Danio rerio: one gene and its partners. The protein of the gene in region 6 binds, or shares a complex with, the protein of the main gene of each other region. Links are inferred from orthologs where the notes say so. Each region holds a gene or a part of one and is shown on either strand. Other genes may lie near its edges.

The links.
Region 1: dpm2 (region 6) and dpm1 share a complex: the UniProt entries of both Homo sapiens proteins name them as parts of the dolichol-phosphate mannose (DPM) synthase complex. The link is inferred for Danio rerio from reciprocal best matches to the Homo sapiens genes DPM2 and DPM1.
Region 2: dpm2 (region 6) and pigq share a complex: the UniProt entries of both Homo sapiens proteins name them as parts of the glycosylphosphatidylinositol-N-acetylglucosaminyltransferase (GPI-GnT) complex. The link is inferred for Danio rerio from reciprocal best matches to the Homo sapiens genes DPM2 and PIGQ.
Region 3: dpm2 (region 6) and pigc share a complex: the UniProt entries of both Homo sapiens proteins name them as parts of the glycosylphosphatidylinositol-N-acetylglucosaminyltransferase (GPI-GnT) complex. The link is inferred for Danio rerio from reciprocal best matches to the Homo sapiens genes DPM2 and PIGC.
Region 4: dpm2 (region 6) and dpm3 share a complex: the UniProt entries of both Homo sapiens proteins name them as parts of the dolichol-phosphate mannose (DPM) synthase complex. The link is inferred for Danio rerio from reciprocal best matches to the Homo sapiens genes DPM2 and DPM3.
Region 5: dpm2 (region 6) and pigh share a complex: the UniProt entries of both Homo sapiens proteins name them as parts of the glycosylphosphatidylinositol-N-acetylglucosaminyltransferase (GPI-GnT) complex. The link is inferred for Danio rerio from reciprocal best matches to the Homo sapiens genes DPM2 and PIGH.

What each region holds. Positions count from the first base shown.
Region 1 is NC_133198.1:23,420,291-23,423,534, reverse strand, and holds the end of dpm1 (dolichol-phosphate mannosyltransferase subunit 1), read right to left. Parts: intron 2,823-3,244; coding exon 2,754-2,822; intron 2,671-2,753; coding exon 2,556-2,670; intron 1,637-2,555; coding exon 1,532-1,636; 3' UTR 1,310-1,531; downstream 1-1,309. Other genes in the region: adnpb (activity-dependent neuroprotector homeobox b), read right to left, coding at 396-426. UniProt on the Homo sapiens protein: Transfers mannose from GDP-mannose to dolichol monophosphate to form dolichol phosphate mannose (Dol-P-Man) which is the mannosyl donor in pathways leading to N-glycosylation, glycosyl phosphatidylinositol membrane anchoring, and O-mannosylation of proteins; catalytic subunit of the dolichol-phosphate mannose (DPM) synthase complex.
Region 2 is NC_133178.1:25,542,338-25,547,843, reverse strand, and holds the start of pigq (phosphatidylinositol N-acetylglucosaminyltransferase subunit Q), read left to right. Parts: upstream 1-1,846; 5' UTR 1,847-2,099; intron 2,100-2,228; exon of another isoform or gene 2,229-2,267; intron 2,268-2,417; 5' UTR 2,418-2,459; coding exon 2,460-3,157; intron 3,158-3,233; coding exon 3,234-3,365; intron 3,366-5,111; coding exon 5,112-5,232; intron 5,233-5,506. UniProt on the Homo sapiens protein: Part of the glycosylphosphatidylinositol-N-acetylglucosaminyltransferase (GPI-GnT) complex that catalyzes the transfer of N-acetylglucosamine from UDP-N-acetylglucosamine to phosphatidylinositol and participates in the first step of GPI biosynthesis.
Region 3 is NC_133195.1:16,064,278-16,069,798, reverse strand, and holds the start of pigc (phosphatidylinositol N-acetylglucosaminyltransferase subunit C), read right to left. Parts: upstream 3,327-5,521; 5' UTR 3,309-3,326; intron 295-3,308; 5' UTR 292-294; coding exon 1-291. UniProt on the Homo sapiens protein: Part of the glycosylphosphatidylinositol-N-acetylglucosaminyltransferase (GPI-GnT) complex that catalyzes the transfer of N-acetylglucosamine from UDP-N-acetylglucosamine to phosphatidylinositol and participates in the first step of GPI biosynthesis.
Region 4 is NC_133194.1:9,591,282-9,596,715, forward strand, and holds dpm3 (dolichol-phosphate mannosyltransferase subunit 3), read right to left. Parts: upstream 3,513-5,434; 5' UTR 3,455-3,512; intron 2,051-3,454; 5' UTR 2,008-2,050; coding exon 1,729-2,007; 3' UTR 1,004-1,728; downstream 1-1,003. UniProt on the Homo sapiens protein: Stabilizer subunit of the dolichol-phosphate mannose (DPM) synthase complex; tethers catalytic subunit DPM1 to the endoplasmic reticulum.
Region 5 is NC_133195.1:31,131,073-31,136,240, forward strand, and holds pigh (phosphatidylinositol N-acetylglucosaminyltransferase subunit H), read right to left. Parts: upstream 3,252-5,168; 5' UTR 3,134-3,251; coding exon 2,957-3,133; intron 1,474-2,956; coding exon 1,264-1,473; intron 1,187-1,263; coding exon 1,103-1,186; intron 1,007-1,102; coding exon 932-1,006; 3' UTR 925-931; intron 828-924; 3' UTR 413-827; downstream 1-412. UniProt on the Homo sapiens protein: Part of the glycosylphosphatidylinositol-N-acetylglucosaminyltransferase (GPI-GnT) complex that catalyzes the transfer of N-acetylglucosamine from UDP-N-acetylglucosamine to phosphatidylinositol and participates in the first step of GPI biosynthesis.
Region 6 is NC_133180.1:32,330,753-32,336,045, forward strand, and holds dpm2 (dolichol phosphate-mannose biosynthesis regulatory protein), read right to left. Parts: upstream 3,277-5,293; 5' UTR 3,222-3,276; coding exon 3,219-3,221; intron 2,423-3,218; coding exon 2,333-2,422; intron 2,207-2,332; coding exon 2,104-2,206; intron 1,515-2,103; coding exon 1,459-1,514; 3' UTR 915-1,458; downstream 1-914. UniProt on the Homo sapiens protein: Regulates the biosynthesis of dolichol phosphate-mannose. Regulatory subunit of the dolichol-phosphate mannose (DPM) synthase complex; essential for the ER localization and stable expression of DPM1.

The DNA of each region.
Region 1 (3,244 bases), on a different chromosome or scaffold from region 6:
CCTCCTGTTACGGGCCGACCCAGAGCTGCCTGTCTGCCGGGAAAGAGCTGCTGCAACTCATCTAAACAGTGCCTGTGCGGGTCTACGGCTGTCCTGGTGGGATTAAGAGCGCGAAAAGCCGAGCGCGCGCTGCGTTTGCGATGATGCACAGTCTACAAGACGCGCGATGACGATGTAATTGACTGCAATTAACGCAATCTGCCATCCACTTAAACAATACGACCCGGTCCAGCACCTATGCTATCCAAAATGGCGTGTGAAAAAGGGCGGAAGTGACATGTGTGTTTGATTAGCATAAAAAAGCATTGTGCCGACCGAGATGCGTTGGGTGTGGGATTGTGCGGTAAGAGGACTCCGACGACGACCAGTCTAATATTCACCCTATATAAGCTTACCTGAAGTGCACAAGTGTGTGTGTGCACGCATATAGCGTTTTATTAAATGCTCCTGAAATTGGTGTAAACAGCCCCTGGGTGCAGTTACATGCTATGAGGCCATAGGGGGCGCTATCGGCTGTGAGTTGATTGGATAGAAGCGTATGCGTCAATTCTGCATCTGGTATCTACCCCCGCAGAGAGTCGGATGTATACAGTGCCTCAGTACCTCCAGCGTTGGAGCAGCATGAGTTCGGGTGGTGGCGCTGTACCGCGCTCCTGCGCAACTCACCGGGACTACTTCTGCATGTCAAGAGCTGGGGTTGCAGACTCTGAAGCCATGGTGATTCCCCCACCCCTGAGCCCTGGAGTTATTCCCCTCCTGGTGGTGGATGTAGCACACTCACCCTATGTGTGTTCTACTAGTTTGGGGTGTCATTTGGGCACTCTAAACCCAAAGTGAATGGGCAATCCTGACTGTGAGGGAGGAGACAGATCGGAAATTGATGGCAGTGGATCATGGGATGTGGCATACTGTTTTCCTGTTTCATTGACTGATGAGTGACCTATTTTATAATTCAGCCTCATCAATTTGATTCATTTTAAATCCAAAGTATTGTCATAAATTATTTTATATCAATTGGTTAAAATACCTTTTTATAACCAAAATGATTTTGGAACAATATTTTTTTTATTTTAAGACATCTCTATTGCCATTCGTAAAGGTACAAAACAATACATGTGAATGCTCAAATGAATATTTAAAGGGTTTTCACAGAAATTCAGTTTGAGAAGCATTTTGAGAAGAACATTTCAGTCATTGAATGAATCCAGTTTGTAGGGATGAGTTCATTTCTTAATAGAACCACAATGATGCTTTTTATAGCCTAAAAACATAGTTCATATGAAATAAGTGTTAGTACTTCAAAAACTAGCTCTCAGTTTGGTCCTTTTATTACAATTCAGAACATTTGAATGTACATTTCTAAACATTGCCTAGTAATTAACAAAACTAAGTAGAAGGAACGTGGTAAATCCAAGCATAATGACCTCATTACTTGGTAATCAAGTAATTATTCTAGCTTCTCGCTCCACTGCAGTGATAATAAGCGCTGATCATACATCACAACACTAAATGCAACCAAATAGGTCAAAGGTCATGTAGTGGCAAAAAGAGTGAGCAGTCCTTTCAGGAAGGAGACGATTTCATTTCCACCTAATTTGGACTCTCCATAAACACGGTCCACAAATGAAATGGGAACCTGAATAACAGACAAAAAAAAAAAAAAAAAGCTACGTTAAGAAATCGATCAAATAAACCATTCTGCTACTATGAAACAGAATGAAAAACAAAAGTGTTTGTATTAAATATAGTACAGTGACTCATAATTTCCAGCTTACAAAATAAGAGGCTTTTACACTTTTTCACAGTTCCTAGAACCATAACATGGTTTCTGGAGTGTTCGCACTGTAGGAACTGGGAATGATTTAAGTTAAACAACACTGTTTTATTGGACTAAATTAGCTCCTGGATTAGATCAGGGTGTAATCCATCAAAATAGCAGCTACAGTGATGTAAACCCTGGCAGAGAATTTGAATACACATTCACATAATATGGGCAACACGGTGGTACAGTGGTTAGTGCTGCCACTTCACAGCAAGGTCGCTAGTTTCAGTCTCGGCTAAGTCAGTTGGCATTTCTGAGTGGAGTTTGCATGTTCTCCTCATGTTCGTGTGGGTTTCCCCCACAGTCCAAACACGTGCTGTAGGTGAATTGGGTAAGGTAATTTGTCTGTAGTGTATGCGTGTATGTCCTGATCCTTCAGATTGGGGGTTGAGCATTGAGCTAACAATTCATATCCTAAAAACTAGATGTTTCCAAACACCAATATGATGCGACCAAATATCAACTTTGATATAAAAGCCTTGACATAATCTGCATTATCATGAAACATCTTTGTTATTTTGATGTCACTGTCAGCATGGCTTACATCACCTTAGATTTCCTGCTGGCAGTGGGGAAATACGTTTTCGATGAACAGGGCCTAGCAGTTAGTTTCAGTAACTACCCAGAGCAAAATGCCACTATAGTCCAAGTATTACACAAATATATCTAAACCATTTTTTAAATAACTGGCAATAACTGCATTCATAGGAAATGTGGAAAGAGATGTGCTGACCTCTCCAATTGTATAGCCCAGTTGTCTGGCCCGGACAATCATCTCCATCTGGAACACATAGCCTTTTGACACACACTGCTCCACTAGTTTTTCCAGAACCTCTTTCTTATAGAGCCTAAAACAAAGAACACGTTATTTATAATGACAATACAGTTTATGAGAAGTAATAAGACTGATTTCTTTATAAACATGCCTCACCTAAAACTCCCAGTAAGATCAGACGCTCCTGGTCTGAGCAGAACTTGTGTTACAAAGTTTGCCCCTCGACTAAAACAAAAAAAAGTTATATCAACCAAGTAATATAGTACCACAAAATGTGAGAGTATATGTGCCATGGAATAATCTAAGCCCTGTTTTTATTTATTCTGAGTGGTCGGTTGACATTGCCATATCAAACTGACATTTACAAGTATTTGGATGCATCGCTTGCGTGACCACATGTGCTGTAAGTGAATTTCACTACGACCTTTCCTTACAGACACTTTCTACATCACTATTGCAAGTACTTCTGAATGAACTAACCAATGTTCTACAGCTTTTGTGCAGGTGGAAGAGCAAGAAAATGAAAAGAATGTGAAAACTAGATTTTTTATTGTATTTTGATGTTTTGACACAGCGGAGAGAAGCATGAATGACTTGTTTTATTGCGCTTTCTGTCCGCATACCCTATAACAGCTGTGTTAATGGCT
Region 2 (5,506 bases), on a different chromosome or scaffold from region 6:
TATTAATTTGTATCGGGCTTGATTCGACGTCTAACTTGTCGCAGTTAATTTAACTTAATTTGGATTGTGTAAAAACTTTGAAGTTTAGGCATTAGGACACAAAGAGACACCTTAATGGCTATGAGTTCAAAGCTTTTGTAAGTCTGTGATTTTTTTTATTTATTATTATCCCTTCCTGATATTATAATTTAAGACCAGTCTGTCCAACCTCCGAATCGTCAATATTTGCTATATTTTATCACTTTAAAACTCAGGGTTATATTAATGTGACTATAGCGCCATCTTCTGGTAGCCACACAATTTTTTTTACATCCTTAATTCAGGTTGATCCAAGTATGTCCAAGAATACCGGAGGGAGATGTTTTATTTTTATTTATTTATTGTTTATTAATATTTTATTCTTGCAAGAATAAGAAGACGTTTATTTCATTTGGCAAATATGGTTAACCTACAAATCACGGTTACACCTGCCTATAAAGTTATTTTTGTTGTTTTATTTTGTGTCCCAAAAATAAACATTATGATTAAATTTATTATTTTAAATAGGCAAATTAACATTTGTAAAATAATAAAGCCACAGCCTTCTCTACAGCCTTTGTTCTTCTTTTTTTTTCTTCCATCAGTTCCCTCCTAAATGTAAGTGTTATCATGTGAGAGAAGCTGTTATCAAGAAAGAAAAGCTGGTTTTGTGGGGCCCCTTTGTCTTGAATGTTAAGATAGCTAACGTTTCATTTAGGAAAAGTCTCATTTAGACACATTCACAGATCAGAGGTTCATGTAAGTACACTCTTCTACGCTTAGGTTTTATGGCTCATGTCATGCAGTCCTAACTCTGCTAAGTGCTTTAATGATCAAAAATATTATTATTTGAAAATAATCTCTGAAAAAGCATGAAAAAACAGTGCTTTTTGCCTTAAAGAATATTTCACGTTTTTTGTTAAGAAAACATACTAAATATATCCTGCTTTAAAGTGTACTTTTCATTGCATATTTGTTTCTGTAGATTTCATTATCCAATATCTGCAACATTTTATTGAATAATGTTTTGGGAAAAATTTTTAATCTTCCTTTTGCAAATTAGTACACGTTTAATTCATCATATATATACACAAACATCAAATATATACACAAATTCATGCATAAATAAAACAATAAATATATAAATATGGAAATCAATCAATAAATAAATGAATAAATACACAAATTCCTGCGTAATTTAACAAAACATGCATCTTTTGTTTTTTTTTAACAAAAAAAAATGCTCAAATAAATAAATAAATAAATGTGAATATAAATCTACAAATTCCTGCAAAAATAAAACAATTATTAAATACTCAAATAAATGTATATATAAATCTACAATTTTCTGCAAAAATAAATATATAAATAATTAATAGTGTGGTGTAAAAGAGGGGAAATCTACTTTCAGTTTAGCATTTTCTTATTTTCCCAACATCCATGTAACTTATTTAGTTATTAATCTGCCCGCACTATATTTCTTTATGCAGGAATTTGTGGGTTTTTAATATATATTTATTTGCATATTTATTTATTGTTTTATTTATGCGGAAATTTGTGGATTTATTAATTAATTCTTTTATTTATTTGTTTATTTATTTTGTATATTTATTTATTTATTTATTGTTTTTGTCGTCCATATGTATAGTAGCATATTTGGTTATTTCTTTATCTGCTACTATTGCTCATCTGATCTTTTTTTTAAATATAATGATAAATGAATGGAATCATTCATTGGGAAAATTGTTTTTGGCGGAAAAATTGCCATTCAAAACTTACTTGAACTATTTGAGTCGGAACAAAAAAATATCCATTAAGTTCACCCGGCGGAATTTTAACGACGGACTGTAAACAATATGAACGTTACGGTCCGTCTAATCCATTGAAAAACTGGTTTCCAGTTAGTTTAACAAAAGCACGTGCTGGATTATTCAATAGCATATCTATTACAATTGCCCTATGATTTCGCGTTATTTTTTGAGATAATGCCAGCGTTGATTAACGCACTTAGTAACGTTAATTTAATCGTCGCCTCCTACAGAACAACTTCTCAGAATTTCTCGACCTTCAAAATCAACAAGGTAACTTTATAAACACTTAACTAGCAATTACAGCATATAATAGCACGTCCTTGCATTTGTCAATGGTAGTGCCGTGAATAAAATCGATGAGAGTTTTGCCCGAAGCGTGTGGTTGCCATAGAAATGACCGATTTGAAGGGCACAGCTATATAGCTGTCCTCGTTAGATGTGTGTGCTGCTAACATACAACACGTTTGTTTGTTTGCTTGTTTTTAACTACTCAGAATGCTGTATTATACGTGCTATAATGTCTAACACATATGGTGCTTTTTGTGTTCTTGTTTCTAGCGTTAAAATAATGCTTTTGTGCCCACACAGGACTGTATATTTCGCTGTTGGTGGACTTTATAGCACACAGACATGGTGCTGAAGATCTTCTTCCCTCAATGCTGCAACACTGCTGACAGTGGCCTGCTGGTCGGGCGCTGGATCCCAGGACACAATTCTGCTGTGGTACTAGCTGTCGTTCACTATCCATTCATACCCGGACAGGTAAAAAAGTACTTGAGTGAGATCCAGAGCCAGACTCAAGTGGATCTTGCCGTGCTGGGTTCCTGGAGTATGCCAAAAGAAGGTCAAGAAGGATTGGACAGCTTCCTCAAAGACCTGAGCACCATCTTTCCTCAGAAATGTTGGCTGCAGTTGAGCCGTGAGATTGGCAAAAGAGGCTTTACATGTCGGGTGGTTCAAAACAATGGGATGCTTCTACAGGACAAAGAGCAGAAGAGTGATGTAGATGGCAGTGAAGAAGATAAGATCATCCTCGTTCATTATGACCAAAGGAAGGTGATGCTGTCGCAGCTTCATCCGGTGCAAGAGGCTGACCAAAAGTCTGAAATCGAGCCGTCAGAGCTGCGCTTGGTCTTCCAAACAGTTGCTCAAAGTCAGCCTCTGTTTTTCCTGGATAAATACGACGACGGGCCGCTGAAACTCACCCACTGGCAGTCTGAAGGGAGGGAGGCTAGTATTATTGCAGAGCTTCTTAAACAAGCATCTGTGCCGGTGTGCATCTGCCTCACGTGGTTGCTTTCTCTTTGGCTTTGGTTTTGCAGCTTTAGGTGAGTTCAAGTGGACCATCTTCTGTCTGTTTTCAGTATTGAAAATGTGTTAATCACATCCTTTCTTGTTTGACAGGATTTTAAATATACCTCCTGTGAAGTTCATTACAAGCAAGCTGTCCACGTGTGTTCAGTCGGGTTACAGGGCCGTTCATTTTAAGACCGTTTTCTCCCCTAAAAAAGCTGATACACACATGGATTTCATGAGGTAGGGGTAGATCCGCAGATTTTAGCCAATCATTGAGTGTATTTATTTACTTGTTTAAATGTGTGTGCATTTATATTTATTCAGTTTTTAAATTCATTTCAGTAGTATGATTGACTAATATTAAAAGGTTCAGATGATTTGTTTACAATAGTTTGTAAGTAATATGTTCTGTCTTTTAGTAGAGATATTATATGAGAGACTTGCTTTGTTTACCAAATCAGTGGATCTAATTGGATTTGCATTGTAAACATTAAATAAAAGTTAAAAAGGTATTCTTTTTCATGTCATATATTAAGTTTTTAGTCACGATACTCCCAAAATCATTTCGCAAAAATTCCCCCCCCTTTTTTTTTTTTTTTTACAAAATTCTGTGCAGAAATTGCAAAAAATGTCTGCAGATTTTGTCTGGCCCTAGGAAGGGGTCAATCACATAAAACGAGTGTTTTCATTTGATAACAAAAGAGAAAAAAACATTAGCATTGACTTTTGCCTTGTGCTTTGTTTATTTGATTTTGAAAAACGTGTAAGTCTGTTAGGGGTGCACAATATATCGTTTTAGCATCAATATCACAATGTGTGTAAGCGCAATAGTCACATCACATAGATATGCAGTGTTGATTTGGGATTATAGTTGAGCCAGTGTCACAGTTCAAAACATGAGATTTGTTGAATCACTGCAGAAATTAAATATAATGGAGTGACATTTATAATTTGCATGTTTTTAAGGCCTAAGAGACATTAAGTATTCAGACACAGGACGTTTTACCAATCGGAAGATTAATTATATTGAATTATTTATACAGTAAAGACTTTGCAGTGTCATTTTTACATTTACAAAACCATAAAGCATGTTTATTTCACTTTTATTTTTACATTATTCACTCTTCTACTAAATCATCCCAATTAATCAAAATTTATACATTCGGTAACATTTTAGGGACCAATTCTCATTATTAACCAGTAGCTTATTAGCATGCATGTTATTGAGATATCGGCTGTTTATTAGTACTTATAAACTACATTTTCTGCATAATCTTATACTTCATCCCTAGTCCTACCAATACCTAATCTACCTTAATAACTATTAATAAGGAGCAAATTAGGAGTTTGAGACAAAAGCCATATAATTAAACCATAAAATAATAATAATAAATTATTTTCAAATAAGTGCTATTCAGTCTTAGGAGAAATTGTATAAATTTCACACTATATATTGCAATATATATTACACTATATATATATTGCAGAAGAACAAAATTTTGCAATGTCAGATTTTTCCAATATCATGCAGATTCTTAATCCCTATTTTAAAAATCAGTTTAATGAAATAAAACACTCTCTGAAGTTAAAAGTATTTTAAAAGTAAATTTCATAACATGTATAAGTAATGATTATTGTTCTCATTAAAACAATTTTAAGTACTCATCAATACTCAAGGTAATTAATCTTGCATTAATAAAAAGGTCAAGTGTCCTGATATTTTAAGAGACTTATTTATTATGACAATTGTTGCATTGTAAATGCTATTCTAAAATAAAAATCTACATTCATTCTTGTAATGAAACATTTTGATCTTAATGTTTAGATTTGTTTTTACTTGTTCTTCAAAATATTATTTAGAATGAAATGCAATATTAGAAATCATTATAAAAATAGCATGTTAATTACTTAAATGTTTAACTTTTTAATTAGATTTTTCAATCAAATATAATCTCTTAACTCTTTCTTTTTTTCACTCCTCTGCAGAAAAGCAAACATCTTTGTGTCTTTCCTTGTGGACATAGCCTTTGGTTTGCTGCTCATCTCATGGCTGTATAGGGAGAATCGTATCAGCAAATTAGCCAATACTCTGGTACCTGTGGCTGATGTAAGTATGACAATATATTTCCATTAAAAAGTTTTAGGGTTACATTATTTATTTAAGTCTCTTTGACTAGGCCTGTCACAATAATCAATATATCGATTTATCACACAACACATGGACATGACCTCAATCTTTTTTGCCGATGCAATATATATTGCCCAATGCTTGTACATAAAAACCAATTCTAGCAACATTTTAGCTGATTTCGCAACATCTCTATTGGAGGTGCCAATGTTAGTATGGTTAAAAGAACTGCAATATTTACTTTAAATAACTG
Region 3 (5,521 bases), on a different chromosome or scaffold from region 6:
TCCAAACAGAGCGCAGCCTAGGCAGACGCATAACACGGCAGACGGCTCCAGCTCACCCTGCTCCATGTAGGACCACAGTGTGAGAAAGAGGGCCACGCAGGACACCTGCTGGGCGATAAGGCCTGTCTCGCGAACCACAGCCCAGTAGCGGTACTGGCGGACGCGGATGTTCCGCCGCAGCTCCTCCAGGAAACGCCGGTCCACATAGTTGTCTGGGAAAGGCTGCCGTTCATAGAGCACTTTCCTCCACGGGACGGCCGAAGGAGCCCCTGGACCGCTGTCTGCTCCCATCGCCTGTCCAAATCAGAGAACACAGTGGCTGAACATTAGCTATGCATGATATTGGGAAAAAATGTGACATTGCTCATTTTTAGTTTTGCTGCCACATTAGGAATTCTCTATTGAACATGACATGTTTTTATCTAGGAATAATGTTTCTAAAGGAGCTGTTGACATGAGATTGATCCTGATTTTGGTAAAAACTCAAACAATACAAATATTAAAATAGAATAAAATAAAACACATCTGAAAAATAAGTGATGTGTAATAACAATGGAATGACACAAGGAGAAGTGTTGAACTACTGAAATACTTCATATAAAAAGCTTTTTTTGATGATGGCAGCTTAAAGACGCCTCTCATATGGAGAATGAAGTCACATGAATTGCTAAGGTGTGAGTTCTTCAGAGACTTCAACACTGTGTAAAAATCTTAATGGTTATGTGAGTCCCATCTTTCAAATCTGATCTTTAATTTGTATTTTTTATTGGGTTCAAGTCAGGTGATTGGCTGGGCCATTCTACAGCTTGATTTTCTTTCTCTTTTCTTAGCTGTGTTTTGAATCATTGTTTTGCTGAAATTTCCGCTATGGTTTCCTTTTTATCATCCTGCTAATGTAGATGTTGGACTGAAGCAGCTGATATTAATTTACAATGGCGAAGAAAAGGGGGTTGCTGAAGAACTACTGAGAGATTTCAGCTGCTGTCTGGGCTTTTATTGTCATTCTGCACCTCTCTATCTTCATGTGTTTAATATTTTTTCCCTGCTTCATTTTTTTTATTACACATAACTTTATTTGTAAAATAATTAGATTTGTTGTCTTTGCATACTTAGATTTTTTTGATTGTTTTAAACATCTGGGAAATATTTTAAGTCAACAGCGCCTTTAGTAATATGTTTTCTGAAAAGAAAAGGTGATGTGTGGAATACTTATTTCCCCCACTGTTTTGTGACACGAATATAGTTTCACCAGATGAATCGAATACTTCTATTTGGAAAGATTTCATTAATTTAGATCGACTGATTGATCAAGTGTTTTTCTTTTATTTATTATTTTATTGCTTTGATGATGCAATTAACCCTTTGCAGGTAGTTTGATTGACAGGCAATCCAGCCAATAATACTGCTGATATCCTGCGATGATCTTGTATAACTTTCTGCATTGTTGTCAAACAGGCATCATGGTAGAGTAACATTTTACAATACAATGGTGAAAATAATCTCATATGGGACTCCAAATGGTACTCAGGTACACAGAAAATTATTTTCTATGCAGTGAGTTTGCATAAATCATAATGCATTACGAGCATTCATTCATTTTCCTTGGGCTCAAGCTGCAGTCACACTAGAGTTTGTGTGTGCAAAATTCTGTCGTATGGCGATGCGAAAAGGGGCGGGATTAAACAGAATTATTACTATTAAGCATTAAAAAAAGCGAGCGATTGCTCCGTGTTTTCAATTTCTTTTCTTTTTTTCTTCAATTTCAATTTTAGGCCAGTTAAGAAACCAATATTACCGAATATTACCAAAATATTACCAAATATAAGAAACCAATATTAATAACCTAGGTTGTTAATCACAACAATGGAAAATGTTCACAACAATGGTGGGGTGGGCTCTAAAATGACAATACTCAGATTTTAAATTTGGAATAAATGTTATAAGAAAACAATATTTTATATTAATATTTTAAACAATTTGTAAATTCAGTACATCCAGAGAAACTGAGAAATTTTCATTGGTCTTTAAGTACACTTAATTTTTTTTTTATTGTCAACATTTACTCCCCCTTCACTTGTTTAAACCCTGTTTGGGTTTCTTTCTTCTGCTGAGCACAAAAGTAGATGTTTTGAAGAATGCTGGTAATACGTATGGGTTGATAACCGTATTCAAGGTATACCACGGTTTGGAAAAATCAAGGTTTTAAATTTTTTTTTTTTGCTATACCGTTCCAATGGTTTATGTAGGTTTGTTTGTTTTTATGTTTTTAGGACATAAGTATCTCCAGCAGAAGATATCCTAAAATGCCATTTTTAAATTATAAATAAATCAGTGTTTTTGAAGCTAATCAAGAGGGAGGAAGTCAAAGATTGATTTAAATTATTTAGCCTGACATGTTTATTGTTACAAAATATTTTTAAAAGTTTGTCAAAATAAAATATATTGTGTTCAAAGGTAGAAAAAAGTTTGTTGTTTATCCAGACGATTAAAAAGAATTTATTTTAGAGCAGTAATAGCAATACCGTGATATTTTCATCCAAGGTTATCATACATCACAATCTTAAACCAGCCTATCGTCACCTTAGAATAATAAGGTTTTATCTGCATTCTGAATGATTTTAAAATATTGAGCTTCAAAGTTTTTGCATTGCATAGCAAACAGTATGTGTGTAACATTTGTTTTTTAAATAAAAAATCTTAAAATGTAAACAACTTATAAAAAAACATCGCATAATGTAAATAAGTTGTCATTTAGTAAGAATATGTCAATAACTCAGTTTTGACAAAAATGTCAAATAGAACCTTATAAGGTGACGCCATGTCTAGCTGATACCTGGCACCCTTTGACTTCAATAGCAATTGCTTTGCCTTTGTAAGTAGATGGGTCCCAGCATCCATCATTCATCAAAGTATCTTCTTTATGTTCGACAGAAGAAAGAAACTCATAAAGGTTTAAAACCAATTAGAGGGGCCAGTTAGATTTTTGCGTGAACTACACCCTGTTCTCCACATATCATGTATTTGCTTCATAGTTTATATATAAAGAAAAACATTAAACACCACAAAACTTTAAGCAGCATTGTTTATCTTTGTGTAAGTAAAACGTGCATTTAATCAATCTATTATTATCCTAAATGTCAAGCGGTATCTGACTGACAGCTTCTCACGTCAATCTGATTCATACAGAATGAATCAATCATACAGTCATACAGTAAGCCAGCTGGCGACAGTGTATAAATACAGACAAAATATATTATTTCATATCAAACTTATACAGAATAATGTTCAAGATAAATCTAAAATCTTACCGAATGAGCAGGGTTTCCTGTATTTAGCCGCAGCTGTCAAGCCATCATACATCCGGAAGTGACGTACCAAAAAACAAAAACAAAAGCGCAACCGTGGTATTGACTGAAGAGCGCCACCTGACGACTGTTCCTCACAACCGCCGACGAGTGAAAAGTGAGATGCATATACATTTAATATTTATATAGTCTATGGGTAATCCTCTCTTGATTAATTTGTAACAGCATATGACTAAAATTTAAATAAAAAAACAGTGTTTAGTAATTTGAGTTATTGTTACATTTGTTTGACCCTCATTAGTGGATAATCATATTTGGAGTCCGTCTGCACACAAACAATTTATTTTCATTCATTTTAGTTACTAATATTACACTAATACTTCAGTATTAGAGTATTTAAAATAATTTGACTCAAACAATATTGTATAACACAGGGCTTCTTTCATTTGTAGCGGACTCCTCAAATGTGATTGATTTTATTTTATTCTACAATTATTTTTTTTCATTCATGAGGAAAAAGTGTCGTTTTGGATGTGACATGTCTCCATAATGGATGTGACAGATGTACAATTGCCACTTGTGTGACTTTGGTAAATTAAATACAGTAGTTTGAAAAAATTGACAGAGACATTTATTTATTTATTATTGAATTATTTTTAGTTTAGCACTTTAATACTGAGTAAAACAGCTTATTGGCTTTAAAATGAAGGATTTATTTCATACAGTTGTAATAAAAGTCCATCAACGAACGTATAGAAACACCAAGCTAAGATTCATTCATTCAGATGTAAAAAAAAAAAGCATCAAACCTATTCACAATCAACATGTAGTTCTAGATATTGGCCAGAAGGTGGTGATATGAGATCAGAAATTCAACGAGAAAAGATCAGTAACTAAAATAATGTAATATATATATATATCATCCTTTATATTAAGTCAATAATAATAATAATAGTAATAATAATTGTTTCTATATTTTATAATTGTGCAGAGTCAGATCAAGGGCTGCACAGTGGCGTAGTGGGTAGCACGTTCACCTCACAGTAAGAAGGTAGCTGGTTCAAGCCATATGGTCCAATTGGCATTTCTTGCATGTTCTCCCCGTGTTTGCATGGGTTACAGCAGTACAGGTGAATTAGCTAAGCTAAATTGTCCATATGTGTGTGAATGAGTATGTATGGATGTTTCCCAGTGATGGGTTGCAGCTGGAAGGGCATCTGCTGCATAGAACATATCCTGAATAAGTTGGTGGTTCATTCTGCTGTGGTGACCCCAAATTCATAAAGGGACTGAGCTGAAAAGAAAATGAATGAATGAATGAATGAATGAATGAATGAATGAGAGTCAGATCAAGTTAAAGGCTATGAACTAACTTGAGCAACTATGATGAAGCCACTATTACATTGGAAGCACAAAACAGTCTGACCAATAGACAAACAGAAAAGCACAGAGCAGAGCAGAAAGAGCAGCAGATCCTAGAGGACAGACACTCTCAGAGGAAAAGTGTTGTTGTAGAAACACAGAAATAGACCAGAGAGAGAGAGAAATCATTTTTTTTTACCATACTTAAATAAATCAACTTACTTGTAGGCATGGGCCGGTATAAGATTCTGACGGTGTAATAACCTTGGATATAAATAGCACAGTTTTACTGTTTCATGGTATTCTGCTCAATGCTCTAAAATCTGTTCTTTTTAAATGTCTGGGTAAAAAACAAGAACTTTTTTCCCATTTGAACACAATATATTTTCATTTGAGAAACATTTACAATATTTTGGAGCAGTAAACATGACGGGCTGAATAATTCAAGTCAATCATTGACTTTTGCTGTCTTCATTAGTTTCAACAACAGACTTCTTCACAATTAAAAACAGCATCTATGTATGAGAGATGGAGATACTGTTGTCCTAAAAACAAAACAAACAAAAAAAAAATGCAAATAAAAAATCTTACACATACCTTTGTAGAGCTGAGCGATATGGCAAAAATGTCATCTCGAAAATCATTTTCCATATTGAACGATAACAATATATTTTTAAGTTGTTAATGCTTTAAGATTTTAAAAGAGTATCCCAACAAGGACTGAAGTCACAAAAATTAGAGGATCCGATTAAACAGCATAACATATTTTCGGCCAAAAAATTTTCAGTGGCCAAAGATTCGGTCCATCTCTAATATCACACACTTTTAGATTCCCATTGTGGCACTTTTCTGCT
Region 4 (5,434 bases), on a different chromosome or scaffold from region 6:
CAACATAACATCAACCAAAAATCAACGTCTAATGATGTTACAGCTTGATGTTGTGTGGACGTTACAAATATGATGTCTATTAAGACGTTGAATTATGGTTGCCATACCTGACGAATAAATGTCAGCATTTGAGGTCAATATGACGTTGGGTTTTGGTCACTTTCTAACACAACCTAAAATCAACCAAATATCAAATCGTTATTGGACATCAAAATAACATTGTCCTTAGATGCTGGCTAGTCAGTGAATTTTGTTCACCTGACATCACTACCTAAATCACACCTAATATTAACGTCTTATGATGTTGTGTACCTGCTGGGCAATAACTAGGCCTACACGGAATCTGCGCGTGCAGAAATCCACAGATTTCCAGGCCATCGATTCTATTTGTATTGTTTTTTAAATGTGTGTGAATTTATATTTATTCAATTTTTAAATTAGTTCAGTAATATTACTTACAATAAAGTTTAAAATATATATTTATTTTAATTTTTTTTACTTATTTAAATTTTATTACTTAAATTTTAGTTACGATCCACCCAAAATCATTCCACATAAATCCGCAGATTTTTTACAATATTCTGCACAGAAATAGCAAAAAATGTCCGCAGTTTCTGTCTGGCCTTGGCTATAACTTAATGCACTACAGAATGTTACGTTTACACACACTCACTAATTACATATAAATGCATCAGCTTTTTAGTGTAATACTTCTGAGTACTTTTGAAAGCTCTACTTTTTACTCATACTTTGAGTAATATTTACATCAGATTCTTTTATTCTACCTGCACTACATTTTTAGGCAAGTAATGGTACTTAGGTATGACTTTTCTGTACTCTTATCCACCACTGGCTATCAGTGATTTTGTTCATAAACTTAAAAAAAAAAAATTCCCAAAGTGGGTCTGGTAATAATGCAATTATTTTAGCTGAGGATACTTTTTTTTTTTTATCTCTTTGTAGTTATTCCTGGTGTGAAGCGTTGAACCAGTAAGACTGAAGCTTTTTTTTTTTAAAGCATACATCTTTGTTTTATTAACAGCTTCAAAAAGTTACATTTACATTGCAGTTGAAAATGAATCGGTCTGTGTTTTGATTGACATGTGATTTACACATTTTGCATCAAGCATCAGTTTTATTATGTGGAATGTCCTGGAGAAAACGCAATGGAAAATTACCTTATAAAGTAGTTTTTATCTATTCAGGCAATCAAATACCACATAATGTTCAAATTAAACATTCTGACCCTTAAAATGTTATTTAATAAGTACCGTAATGGAATTCAACACAAATGTTTTACATTTGTAAATCTTTTTTTTTTTTTTTTTTTTTTTAATTGACCGACACATTTCTTTCACAAGCACAGTTCATGTGTAAATCTGAAACCGAATTCTGACTTCACTAAAAACAGAAAGAGCCATATTCATTCCTCGGCCAATGCAAATACACACACTCTGGACTTGGGACTGTACAAAAATAGCACTTCTCTGCACTGACAATATGTCCACAATGTTTCAGTAATGTTTTAAATAAAGCTGTCCTGGAGCTGAAAATAGATTCACAGGTGTGCAGGAGTTTACACCATGTTGAAATAAACATGAACTAAGCTGACCTGTTTTCATTTTAGTCCATATGACAGTGCAAACATCCATAGAACCAGACTGCAGTCACCGTGGAGGAAATGTTGTGCACAGAGAAATAAAGAATATTGATAATCACAAACTAGTTTCACATCTTCAGTCCTTTCTTCCTCAAGTCCTCTTTGGCTTCTTTTATTTGCGCTTGCAGCTCTTTGGCCGCATCCTCACAGTCATTAAATGTAGCCACACGGTAGCCGACAGTGGCCAGAGAATAACACCCAAACACCACCAGCAGGTACACGGGCATCGGCCATGCAAGCTCTTTATACTGGGGCAGCAAATGCAAATCCAGGAGGTCGAAGGTAACGAGTCCCCATGCAATGCCAATCAGAGACACCGCAAGAAGCCACTGCAGAAGCTTGGTCATGGTTTGGGGGATTGCGAGATGATTGAAGACACAGATAATCCACCTTTGAGGATAAATAGGAGAATATAATGTTAGAAATGAGGTGAAGTTGGTTTAGTATTCGCACACTTGTTAATTTATTTATTTATTTTTTTAACAGTGAAATGGTAATTATATTGTTTACCACGCTACTTTAAATATTTAGTCTTAGTGTGCGAATTATACATTGACTTTATCAGTAATGTTTGTGTAATACATGCTTCAGTGAATCAAATTCACGTATTTATTTAAATTACACCTAATTTATTCAAAAATGTATATATTATATTGAATTATAAATAAGTGTATTTCAGTTTTCAGTGTTTTATTGGAAAGGCTGTTTAGTGTATTCTGACAGGCTAGCCATTTCAACTTATCTTAGGTCAAACTTTACAAACTATGCATCTAATTTGAGTTTGCTTTTAGGCTACATGTAGAAACAAACCCCTATTTTATAAGAAAACAGCCTTGCTAATTCTTACGGTGTCTATCGGTGCTCTGAATCTGCCAGTTTCATACTGTTGAATGACTTTTTTTCTCGCGTAGACTGACGGGCACAATTATGCATTCACAATGGTATGAACCTTTATAGGGGTGGTCATATGGATGTCTACTATTTTAATTATTAACATTATTACTTAAAATACAGATCAGAGTGAACTTTCAGTTTTAAAACGCTGACCCATCAATACATCTTGTTTGGACGTCCTTCAAGAGGGATCCAGCCTTAATTAGAGGGTTAATACTTCCCAAACTCCCCATGTAATTCGCAACCTGTTTGGTCAGAAATCTTATGCAAGTATGACTTCAAAACAACATCAGCTCTATTTAATTGACTGTGAAAATTGTTTTGCTTTGATGGTTATTGGCTGCTAATATGATTACACCATTTGAATTGGCAAAGAATACTATTTTGAAGTAATATTATTAAGCATGAAGTCTGATTGAGCGAATATATAAAAACTTTACCTCAATAAGGTTAGGCTGTTATATTTCACTTAATTGTATTTAAATGACACTGTATGGCTTTTGTGCGTTCCATATAAATATTTAGTTAAAACATGAGTATAGTGCACTTAAAAAATAAGAATATTTCTAATAAACAATGCAGAACATTAGATTAAAAGCCTCAAAGCTTCGTTTTTTTGACCAGTGTTTGATACAGACGAAATCAGAAGATCAAGAAACATCATATGTGACTAAAAATTAGAATAAATGCATATACTGCTTTTAAATTCGCTTTAATCCTCACTCGTATTAAAGCTAGCACGATTGCTAATGATTACAGGTGGTTACAATGAAATCTGACAGTCAGCGCTAAACGGAGGAAATCTGTTAACTTGGCGTCAATAATTAGCGACTAAAAATTTATGTTAATAAATGAAACTGGACTTATAATGTAACGTTACTAATAAACTCTCTCTCTTACCTACTATTCAATGCCAGCTCACTGTTTTCGGATTATTGACGCAGGTTGATGACGTAAATGGCGAATAGTATTATGGGAAATGTAGTGCACGTCTTCACGGTTGTTTTTAAAACGGTCTGTGCTTTCAAATGTTTATAGAAACGAGAGATAATTAAATATCTAAGGACCAAAACAGCATTTTTTTAGTATAACTGGAAGTTTGTCTGTTTGTTTAAAACTTAAACAAACCTTTATGAAATACTGATCTCCTAAACCCTGCTGAAAGAGAAGGGGAAATGGGCATTTCGTTTCTTTTTACTCCATTATCTTAAATGTAGGCTTTAGTCTAATATTAGTATATACTGTATCTGCAATATTATTGTGTTAAAGCTTAAGTTTATAGCGCAAAAACAGCATTACATAGGCATAACTGTGTCAGTTAAATCAGTTGACTGTTGAAATTCAATTTTTTTCACCCAACTGTTGAGTTATTAAATCAATAACCCAACAAAGCCAGAGCACCAAATATTTAACATAACTGGTTGAGCTATTAAATAAATAACTTAATAAAGGTTAAAAGTAACCCAGCAATGAACCATAAATGTTTAACTCGACCAGTGGGTTAAAATAAATAACTCAACGTTTTTAGAGTGTATGAGAAAAAATAAAGTAGGATTGAACAGCAATGATTTTTTTTTGTAAATGTAGGCCTACATACAAATGCAGTAATAATTTTGTATATTCGAATCTGAAATTAACCTACAGTACATTTAATTAATTGATCTGATTCCGCTTTTTAAATTGAGTTAAAATATATAAGATCCACTGAACCTTTTCCTCAATTGAGAGATTTAGGTTTTTTTATCTGTGATGCTGGCAGGAAATGAAACGCCCGCGCTCCATCAGTCTGAAGCTGTTTTCTCTGTCTCTGTCCTGCTGGCAGTGGTGGACAGTGCTGTGTTTTGGATGCCGCGGGCGAACATCCGCCCATTGAGCACGTCCGTGACCCATCACACCTCCTCACCCGCCGAGAGGGTATAAACATCACTCAGACAGCGCTGAGATCACTGTGAGGTTATTCTTAGTGGTGTTTACACTTGTCAGCGACTGCCTCTTTCAGTACAGAGAACGGCTGTAAAAGAGAAGTGTAGCAAGTGTGGCATGTGTGTGGGACTATCTATCTATCTATCTATCTATCTATCTATCTATCTATCTATCTATCTATCTATCTATCTATCTATCTGTGATTGCTGTAATTCTCTTCATAATCAGTGTGATTTTCTTCTGCCGGGGTGTTTGCGTAGGAGTGTGCGTTCAGTGAACAGAACATACACGAAGCGCAGTGGGAAAAAAGCAAGTTGGCCGTTCACAGTGTTTGAGACTGCCAGTCCCTGCTCTCCAGCTCAGGAAACCTGTGATCCAGCAGAGAGCAGTTGGCAGACACAACAGAACAGGCTGCACTGAGATAGAGGGGGTGATGGAGCAGAACAACACCCACAACTTAAAGAACGAGACCAGAACATGAAGGTCAAAAGGGAAATAGAATGATTTGGAGCTGGCACATGTTGACTTTTTTGAAAATCGGCTCATTTTACTATTTCCCTAAACAGTTAAAACAATTGAGTTTTACCATTTTTGCATTTATTCAGCTGATCTCCATGTCTTACAAAAGCACCTTTATCTTAGTTCAGCATCGATCATTGAGTCGGATTAGACCATTAGCATCTTGTTCAAAGACAAGTGAGTTCTTATTCTTATTTAAAGCTTGACACTTCTCTAGTTACATTATGCATTAAGATTGACAGAAAATGAAAAGTTGCTATTATGTAGGCCCAGTGATTGGGGGTAACACATTACAATACAAGTTACGTAATAAATATACTTTTCTAAGTAACGAGTAAGTAGCGTATTACTTTTAAAAAATTAAGTAATGATATTTGATTTTTTTTTGTTTCATTAATTACCTTAAAACATATATTGCTGAATTGAAATTAACAGTGA
Region 5 (5,168 bases), on a different chromosome or scaffold from region 6:
TAAATAATAAAAATAATAACAATAAAAAAAACTAAATATGAACCAAAAAATTAAGACTGATTATTGGTGATTGGGTGTCAGCCCGATAGGGTAGCTTTAAATGGAAATAGTAAAATAAGACCTGTGTAAAATGATTTAAGACTCGCAGCACAATATTGCAGTGAATTTCAAACTTAAGGCCTAAAATTTTGTTTTTTGAAATTTAAGACACTTTATTACTTTGTAAGACCTCGGGGACACCCTGTTAAAAGCATTTAAGCAATTATGTCTGTAGCTTTAACAAAGATTACTTGTATTTAAATATTTATACCATACAGTAATTGTTTCAGTGTCATATTTATTTCTGTATTGTTAGTCTCACCAGTGAACCATAGACCATTGTATTTTCTGTTGTACTTATTTTTTCTTGTGATTTGTTATATTTGATCCAAATGTGCTCCCCTAAAATGGAAAATAATAATAATAATAATAACAATAATCACCCTAATCAATCTAAAATAATGAATTATTTCTGAATAGATCTATTCAAGTCTTCATATTAAAATATATATTGAAAATATTCCGTTGTCAGTTTTTTTTAACAAAATTATGCAAAACAAGTGTGAACACATCCTAAAAAACTAAATGGCTAATCATTAAATAATGTTTTAAATGAGGCAAGAATACTGTTATGTACAAACGTTTTTGAATGCGAAGCCTATCTAAAAACTTCTGCATGTAACAAAATGCATTGTGTATTACTGACAATACAAAAAAGCTACCAACAATGTGCTTATGATTCGTTCTGGAGTTTTCCAATCTTCATTCATCTTCAAAGAAAGCCTCTGCTGATCGAAAAACATGGAGTCATAAAGCATATATAGACACAGAACTATGTCAGTCATGTAAAACATGCAGAATATCTAGCAAAACATGAAGCATTACCTCTGCGTCATCTGCTCTGTGCTAGAATTTCTTGACAGCTCTTGTACACTTGAATCAAACAATTGAGCCGAGGCTTTGAACTCTGGAGGAAGAACCAAAGGTGTTCATTTACATACTGAGATGTCACAAATTCCTATAATCTTGCTTTTGCGAATGAATAACAACAGCTGTTTTGAACCTGGAAGAGAGGAACAACACTGGTCACCGTCTCAGGATCTGCTGGGTCCTTGATGAGAATGCACAGATAGTATATGATGTTGTGCTGAGGAGCAAAAACACAAACACTGATTATTTTTACATCTCGATATCTATCATGCGTGAAGGTCACTGTGTGTTTACCATATAAACAGCCTCATTTATGACGATGTCTTTCAGCTTGCTCATCTCAATGAAAGTCGTGCTTTCTCGTCCAGAGGCGTAAGACGAGGACAATTGGACACCCAGAGAGCCTATTATGAGAAGGGTCTCATGGTCCACCTTCACAAAGTGAATATGAATCACCATCCCAACTAAAGTGAGGATGATGGCACTTGACAGAACCGCCGTGTTCTGAATATTAAACAGAAGGAGAATTATATTAGATCAATAAGAGCAATTAGGTTAGATTTATATTGAACATTTGCTTGACATTCACGAAAATATTTCATATATTCTATTATAATATCAAACTTTCAATCGCAGCCATGTTGGAAATTCCTGAATAAGTTCTTCTTGCTTAGTACTAAGTGGAATTTTGAGATATATACTAGGGCTGTATGATATTGGGAAAAAGCTGATATTGCAGTATTTAGTTTTTTGTCAATACACATTGAGATTCTGTAAATAAATTCACCAGATGAAATGAATAGCTCTATTTGGAAAGAATTTACATAATTTTACATTGATTATGATGATTTTGTGGAGTGTATCTGCATCAAATTTAATAAATCAATCAAAAGTATTGATAAAAACAGTAGAGCAAAGCGATGAATGAAAACAACAACCTTCTAGCAGTATTCGGGTACTCAAATTGAGTAATCAAATGTAAAATAGTTTTCATTATTTCATTATGCATGAATGCTTTACATGCTTACACAATCACAGGCCTTAAAAACACAAACATGATTAATTTGGGTTCCTGTTCGACTATAATCCTGCCAAATGAAATGGTTACTGAGTGTATTGGATTTAGAGGGATACGACTTTATTGAACCAACATATTCTGTATTTTGGTTTTATCTTCTTTAAAATTGCATATTGTGATGGGTAAAGAAAGCATTTTTTATGGTTTGGCTCATGTGATAAAATCACTGAATACAGTTGAAGACCACATGATCAGCCTTACTGTAAAATCCTTTTTCTTAGAATAATTGCCGATGGATATTTTAACAGAGCAAGGAAAATATTTACAGTATTTCCAAATATACTTTTCATTTACACTTTTTAGAAGCTTTTTTTTTTCAGAGAAACTATATATTGTTTTCTTATTTTGATCTCCAAATACAGCCTCATGCACAATCAAATGTTTTAACCTGCACTCAGCAGCTGTAATAAATGCACTATAAATGACAACGTAAACTACTTCTGTTTCCTCACTATATGGACGTACATTTTAAATATGTATTTTTTTTCCCTTAAGAAATATTAAATATTGGCTACAGATCAAACCACTGTTGTCCAATGATTTGACCTAGTTAACCCTAAATAACCCAGTTAAGCCTTTAAATTGCATTTTTAGATTAATATTACTAGTATTTTGCAAAATAAATTGTAAAATATTATTTAATTTCATTATGGCAAAAAACAAAATAATTATGTTATCATTAAATTCTTTTTTTAAATAAAATCTTCTCTAAACGTTAAAGAAAACTTGGGAAAATAACTTAGTAAAAAAAAGTTCAATTTCAAAGGAGGGCTAATAAATTTGTTTTCAACTGTATAATAGACGTTTTCGCGCAATGTCAAATCAAAGTCCAATAAACAGTCATTTTTTGTCTAATAAACAGCAAAAGACGCCAAGGCCTTCATAGTCCGCATGATAAAATGTTCTTACCTGGGTGAAGAAGAACACAGCATAAGCAAATAACCACACACAGCAGGTGTACACCATCACCTTGCGCAAGGACAGTTTGGGTGAGGTAACAGTAAACTCTCTGCAGAAAGAAGAGTGCGTTTGGCAGTCTAAAGAAATCCAGTTGCCATTTATGTCTGTGAACTCTTCGTCGGCCATCTCGATCACTGCTGGTTATTTCGCGGTCGGAAAATTACATTAATAAAGACTTCAGAATAAATAGTTTTGCTTAGATTATTATTTTTCCACCAACAGTAAAACCATCTTCTTCTTATGATAATGTGACGTTGGCAAAATAACATACAGGTGCGTTTTCGCCATCTACTGGACTGGGGTTGAAAACTCCCATTCTGGACCACAAAACCAGTTGCACAAAAATATTTAGCTCTCGCTCCAGTGAAAACAAGTACACTGTAAAGTACATTGTAAAAGCCTAAATGATCTTTTTCATTAAGTTATTTACTGAGCTATGTTTCACAAAAATATATTTTTTTAAATAAATACAAGTAAATAATAAAATTTTTGATTAGTAATATTTGCACCTCCAGGTTGGAGGAAAGTTCTTACCCCAGGTAGAGGAGTTTAAGTTTCTTGGGGTTTTGTTCACGAGTGAGGGAAGGATGGAAAGTGATATTGACAGGTGGATTGATGCAACGTCATCAGTAATGCAGTCGATGTACCGGTCCGTTGTGGTAAAGAAGGAGCTGAGCCGAAAGGTAAAGCTCTCGATTTACCGGTCAATCTACGTTCCTACTCTCACCAGTGGTCATGAGATTTGGGTCATGACGGAAAGGAAAAGATCTCATATACAAGAGGCCAAAATTAGTTTCCTTTGAAGGGTGGCAGGGTGCACTCTTATGGATAGGGTGAGGAGCTCTGACACCCGGGAGGAGCTCAGAGTAGAGCCGCTGCTTGTCCACATCGAGAGAAGTCAGCTGAGAAGTCTGCCTCCTGGACGTCTACCTTGGGAGGTGTTCCAGGCATGTCCCACCAGGAGGAGGCCTCGGGGAAGACCCAGGACGGCTCTCGGCTGGCCTGGGAACAGCAGGATACCCCCGGAGTGCCATGTGAAATACGCTAACTGTTTTGATGTTATTAGATTATGCAGTAAGACTATATTAACTTGAGTAACAATTAAAATGTTAAGTATTTTATTTTATTTATATTTTAGTGTCTTTGTCACCAGCAATGTGAAGGTAATAATCGACCAAATAAATGTAGCCTACAATAAAAAAACTGCCTAGTACATTCCCATAAATTGTATTCTACCACCATTTTGTTTTTGAAATATTTTTCAGATGACCTCTCCCCATTGCATTATCGATTCTTTAGGAAATGTATGAGATCTGACTGCATTTCCCATCAGCCCCTGCGGTCGGTAACCTTTGACTCCCGCTCCAGTGAAAACAAGCCGATCAGCTGATCTGACCTGGCAACAACATTCACCCGAATCTACCGGGGAGGGGAATCATTTTACAAGCTGGTGGGCAAAAACAGTTATCTTCACATCAACCGGCTTATTGTTTTTGTGTTTATGACAGAGTCGTTGTCGTGTGCGATGTTTGAGGGAATTCAGCAGCTCGTTTGTTGAAAACTGCGGTGTGATTCTGGCTCGAAATCAGCTTGTTTTGTTCGGTCAAAGCTCTGTTGATCAGTGTGTGTTGTTGGGTGAACATACTTTAAGGACTGTACGATACTAAACCATTATTAATTCAGATACAGAAGTCATATTTTCTAACCCCACTAGTATTTAGTCTTTGAAACTAGAGGAGACAGCCCAGTCACGTATGCTAATCGTAGCTAGCTTGAGTAACAAAAGCCCAGGGCGATAACAACACTCGAATGTAGCTGTTTTCTCAGTGTTTATGTCTGCCAATACAAACATTTCGATACTTATGGCTTGTAGATTGTCAGTTTAGACCGCTTGAACACTTTTAAATCAATTAGAAAGCTCGACAATCTGTCCTAGTGCCAGTGCTACACGGATGTCAACTGATCTATTTATAGTTCATATTGAATATTTGATTTTAAGCCAGTGTCATAATTTGACATCACATTTTGAATTCCAATGAAATTCACAGCAGACGAGTGAGATATATTGTTTAGGACGCTAAATGCATTATCTATGAGGTATTATATAGCGTGTCAGTAGTTGATTGTACATTTAGGTTGCTCTCTGCTGTAGTTGAGTAAC
Region 6 (5,293 bases):
ACTTCTTTCAAACCTATCCGAGTTTCTTTCTGCAAAAGACGATATTTCACAGAACACTGGTAATTGGGTGTTATTGATTTCTACAGAATGGTTCCTACTATGGAAAATGGTTATGATAGCAGCAGTCTTTAAAATGTGATCTTTTATGTTCAACAGAAAAAAAAATAATATTTTTAAAGCTGAGAATAAAAGCTAGTATTTTTTCATTTGGGGTGAAATGTCTCTTTAACAGAATTTGCATTTGGCATTGATTGTTGTTGTTGTCAAAAAGGTTGTTTGCAGAAACTGCCGATCTACTGGGCTTTTCATTCATTCATTCATTTTTTTGTCAGCTTAGTCCCTTTATTAATCTGGGGTCACCACAGCGGAATGAACCGCCAACTTATCCAGCAAGTTTTTACGCAGCAGATGCCATTCCAGTCGCAACCCATCTCTGGGAAACATCCACACACACATTCACACACATACACTACGGACAATTTAGCCTACCCAATTCACATGTACTGCATGTCTTTGGACTGTGGGGGAAACCGGAGCACCCACGCGAAGGCAGGGAGAACATGCAAACTCCACACAGAAACGCCAACTGAGCCGAGGTTCGAACCAGCGACCTTCTTGCTTTGAGGCGACAGCACATCCTACTGCGCCACTGCCTCGCCCTACTGGGCTTTTATAGCAAAATAATATAATAAAATATTTAATGAGCATCCGTTCTGTGGGTAAAAATGACTTGTTAATGCAAGAGGCCAAAGAATAGCCAGACTGGTTCAATAGAAAGGTAAGCAGTAACACAGCACAAGAGTAACAACCACTATCATTACAGCTGAGATATTAAAATCACCTCAAACCCTAAAAACAGATGAGCTACAGTAGCAGAAGTGTTATGTCAAATAAATCATATAAAACACATGACATAGGTATATTTCTGTTCATTTAATGAGGAATTGTTTGAAACAGCAAAAAATCCCTTTCCCATTATTTTCAGACTCTTCTTCTGATATTTGAGGCTAAAAGGAAGCACTCTACCTCATAAATATGTCTATTTACAAAACAAGAGAACAGCTGAAACACACAGACTTAAAGCATAGTACAAGAACAATGAAACATTACTCCCATATTTCATTTAGATGTGCTCTAAACTACACACATGTCTTATGTGCCTATTTTATCATCTTATGTATTATTCACGCTAATTCCCTAAATCATTGCACTACTAGCATGGTCTTGAGTCAATGTTGTAGCTACTAGATGTACAAAGCTCAGGTAGACTATTATTGTGTACATGTTCAGTACGGCTTTGGTGAATTAGTTAACTCTATTTTGATGTTCATTTTAACAACTACAGCACCTGAACATGACAAATGACTGGATTCCAGAAGTTCATCCTCTTCACATGGATGAGTAAAACCAACGCTGATCATTCTTGCTGCAGTACGAATCACAACAACCTGGAGAGTCTTAATCAACTTTCTTAGGTTTTCGATTCTTCCATGTTACGATCCCTATGAATGTGCCTTAAAGAGAAGTAGAACATTTGATTATTAAATACAGAGGAAAACATGAAAAGCTTTTAATTTTAAGGTTAGCTGTGCAAACATGCTAAAAGTGAACAATGTTTAAAATCATTTAGTAAATCTATTTGCAGCGTTCAAGAAAATGCAAGAAAAACTATTTTGACAGAATTATGTTCACATAAATTTAATTAACACAATTATTATGTTAAAGTAAAAGTTTAATCATCCGGTTTAAATATTTCAAAACTATTGATTGTAATAATAATTTTCTGATAAATAATTTTTATTCTCAACATTTGCAATTTAAATTTTGCTTATCTGTTTCTATATTTTAGCTCCCCACGTTGATGTTGCTTTTACTATTTGTTCATGTTTGTGAAGCACTTTTGAGTTGTATGTTATGCTGGAAAAGTGCTATACAAATAAAATGTATTATTACTATAAATTATTATTTTTATTAAAGAAGGATTTTGTTTTTCGCTTTCCTCACTGAGGCATAAATGCTTAAAATGACCATATTTTAATCAAAATTTACAGCATGAACATGTCATGTTAATTTTTTTATGGTTTTATTACTTGATCTGCTTACCAACAAAGAGCAAGAGGATTAATGCTGCGATGCCAGGAAGTATGACTGAATATTCTCGTGGAAGAAAATAGCTGTGTATCACATGGTCACTGTCTACGAAAGGCTGGAATAAGAGCAGAAGAGTTTCCATCACTTTTTTTAGCAGCATATGTTTTAGTAGCACAGGAAATAAGTAACACATTGTGCATGATTTATCTACCGGTAAAAATGAATTTAACTGATCACTTACCAAGACTACCACCCAAATGGAGTAATATGTGAACAGCAAAAGACTAAAGCCAACGAGTCCAAAGCCAACAGCTTGATCTGCTCCGGTTGCCTTAAGATAAATAGTTTTTGGGCTTAGCTCATATATTAACACATCACATTTTATATAAATTGCAAAAATAAGTAATTCAATAAAATATTTATACAAATTATACAATAAAATAATATACAATTTCTTAAGTCTTATTTGGGGTTATTTCAATTGTATTTTACAATCAAAACAAAAATAATAATAATAATAATTTTACCTCAAGTTTAACATAAATTAAGAACATGTATGAAGATTTTAGATGCAAATATCTCTAAATGCCATCTGAGTTTTTCCTCTAAAATAAGCATTTTTATCAGATTCCAGTGTGTATGTTCAGTAATATCACTTTAGGACAAAGAATAAGTCCTTTTCCTGTTCTTTAAAGTGAAATATCTCAACATAAACAAAGGAGGTAGGTAAAAATTTTAAATTTTCCATGGAAATTTAGGATGGCACTTAACGTTAGAGGTTTTTGCATCTGAACTCTTCATATGTACATACATAGAGCTTATAAAGACTTTCTGTCTGGATCTCTGGATCACAGCAAAGTATATATTGGCCTAGCTTTCAGCAGCGGTCTTTAAACTATGAACGAACAAGTAATGAATAAATATAATTTTAAATAAAAAGTAAGTTATATAACATGTCTAAAAACTGAAACTCTCATGAACCAGACGCATCACATTAACTAGAAAATTGAACAGTAAGTTAACTCTCTAGGAACGACGAGGCGTCTTAAAATGTGTTCTGTAATATACAAAATATATAAATACACAGGACAAAACAACAATTTTATACCCATTTAATTTCATCTTACCATTACGAACGTGCCACTTCCGCATGAGCTGTAAAACGTACGTACTTCCGACAGGCAAAGGAAGTGCTGGGAATTGTAGTTTACAACTCACCTTGGTTTTTTCATTATTCATCACACGAGGGCGCACAAACACAGATCCAGGTTTAGATACCCTCCAAAAAGAACAGTATGAAACAATAGAAAAAAATAACATAAGAGATAAAGAGAAGGCATGTTCCCCCTGCGTTCGCCTGGGTTTCCTCCGGGTGCTCCGGTTTCCCCCACAGTCCAAAGACATGCGGTACAGGTGAATTGGGTAGGCTTAAGTGTCCATAGTGTGTGTGTGTGTGTTTGTGTGTGTGTGTGTGTGTGTGGATGTTTCCCAGAGATGGGTTGCGGCTGGTAGGGCATCCGCTGCGTAAAAACATGCTGGATAAGTTGGCGGTTCATTCCGCTGTGGCGACCCCGGATTAATAAAGGGACTAAGCCAACAAGAAAATGAATGAATGAATAAAGAGAAGAGAGAAATGGAAAGACATTAAATATTTATAAGTATTAAATTAATTGTTCACATTATTATTTATTAGCATAAAAAATTTGTTTTGCAAATCAGAGTTAAGGCTACTTACACGAAGACCTTAAAAGCAAAGCATATTTTCACAGTTTTTAAAGCTTTCTTATTAGATTCTGAAATCAACTTTATATTGGCTATAATTCTTTCTCCACATCTTTAATGAAGACCATAAAGGCAGCTGCAACCCAGTATTGGGAAACATCCACACACTCACATTCACACACATACAATACTTATTCTGAGAGAATGAGTTAAACTGATAAATATATTTGGTTTTGTTATTTTAGTATTTCGGCCCTCTGCTTGAGAAGTGTTTTTCTGCTCAGTGTGTGTAAGTGTCCAGTAGGTGGCGCTGTAAGGAAAAGTTTTGCATGTGGTTTTATGGTACATACATGATCATGATGCTGCAAAATACTACAGTTGGATTACATTAGACTATATCGCAGGGAGATGTGCACAAACACACACGTAGGCTATATACGTATAGTTTCCGATCTCCGCCGCCGCCGTTTGAAACCCGGTCCATTGTTTAACACTTCCATCTGAATTTCGGAGACAAATGTTGGCAGATACAGCCAGAATAAAAAAAAACAGTTGATTCACTTCAGTCTTCACATACAGTAAGGTCACATTGATCCTCATTCCACATACGAACCAGTAGAGTCAGACACAGGACATGTTATAGGAGGGAAACTATATTTGAACTAAGACAGTTAGCCTATATTTTTATTCCTGACTTAGTTAAACCCATCAATGTTAAATTGTGTGTTTGTGGAGATATGTTAAACCCATGATGCTGTTGCAAATGTTTTAGCAGTAATGCAAATCCTTGGCTACAACACTCTGGATCAGTTGGAACAAAAAACTTGGTGAAATGTTACCAACAACCCCAAGCAAATTTAGCTGTGTCTATATATTTAATTTCACCTGTGCTCTGTGTGCTCATGAAGCCTGCACACACAAACAGTCCTATATAATTGTTAAACTGATGCACATTTAAACATTTTATTCATCTTTGTAACAGAGACAAACACAGATTATACTCGGAGCTGAGTCCTTTTTTGTCATAATTCTGATTTATAATGTTACATGTCACCCCAGTGAATATCCTGTTACAATTGGATGCTTGAAACGTAACTGTGCATTTTCTGTTTGTGCTACAAAGATAACATGTAGGCCATTTAAAAGCTGACACTTGTAGCTAGTTTGAATCACATTTTGAACACACTGGCTTAAAATATCTCAAGGATATAGAAAGGTAAACAAAAAGTTACAACTGTACCAGCCTATATTTGTGCTTCTAATGTAACTTAATTATTTACAGACCAAAATGGAACAACTTACAGATCTTTTTATAGACTTTACTAAATAAAAAATGACCAGTTGTAGTTTTAAACTGGTTTTCTGAATATTCTGAGTTGGACAAGGGGGAATATGACAAGCACATTCATCCATTGTAAAAGCGCTATACAAATAAAGCTGAATTGAATGACAAAACGATATAAATTGTAATAGTTTCAGT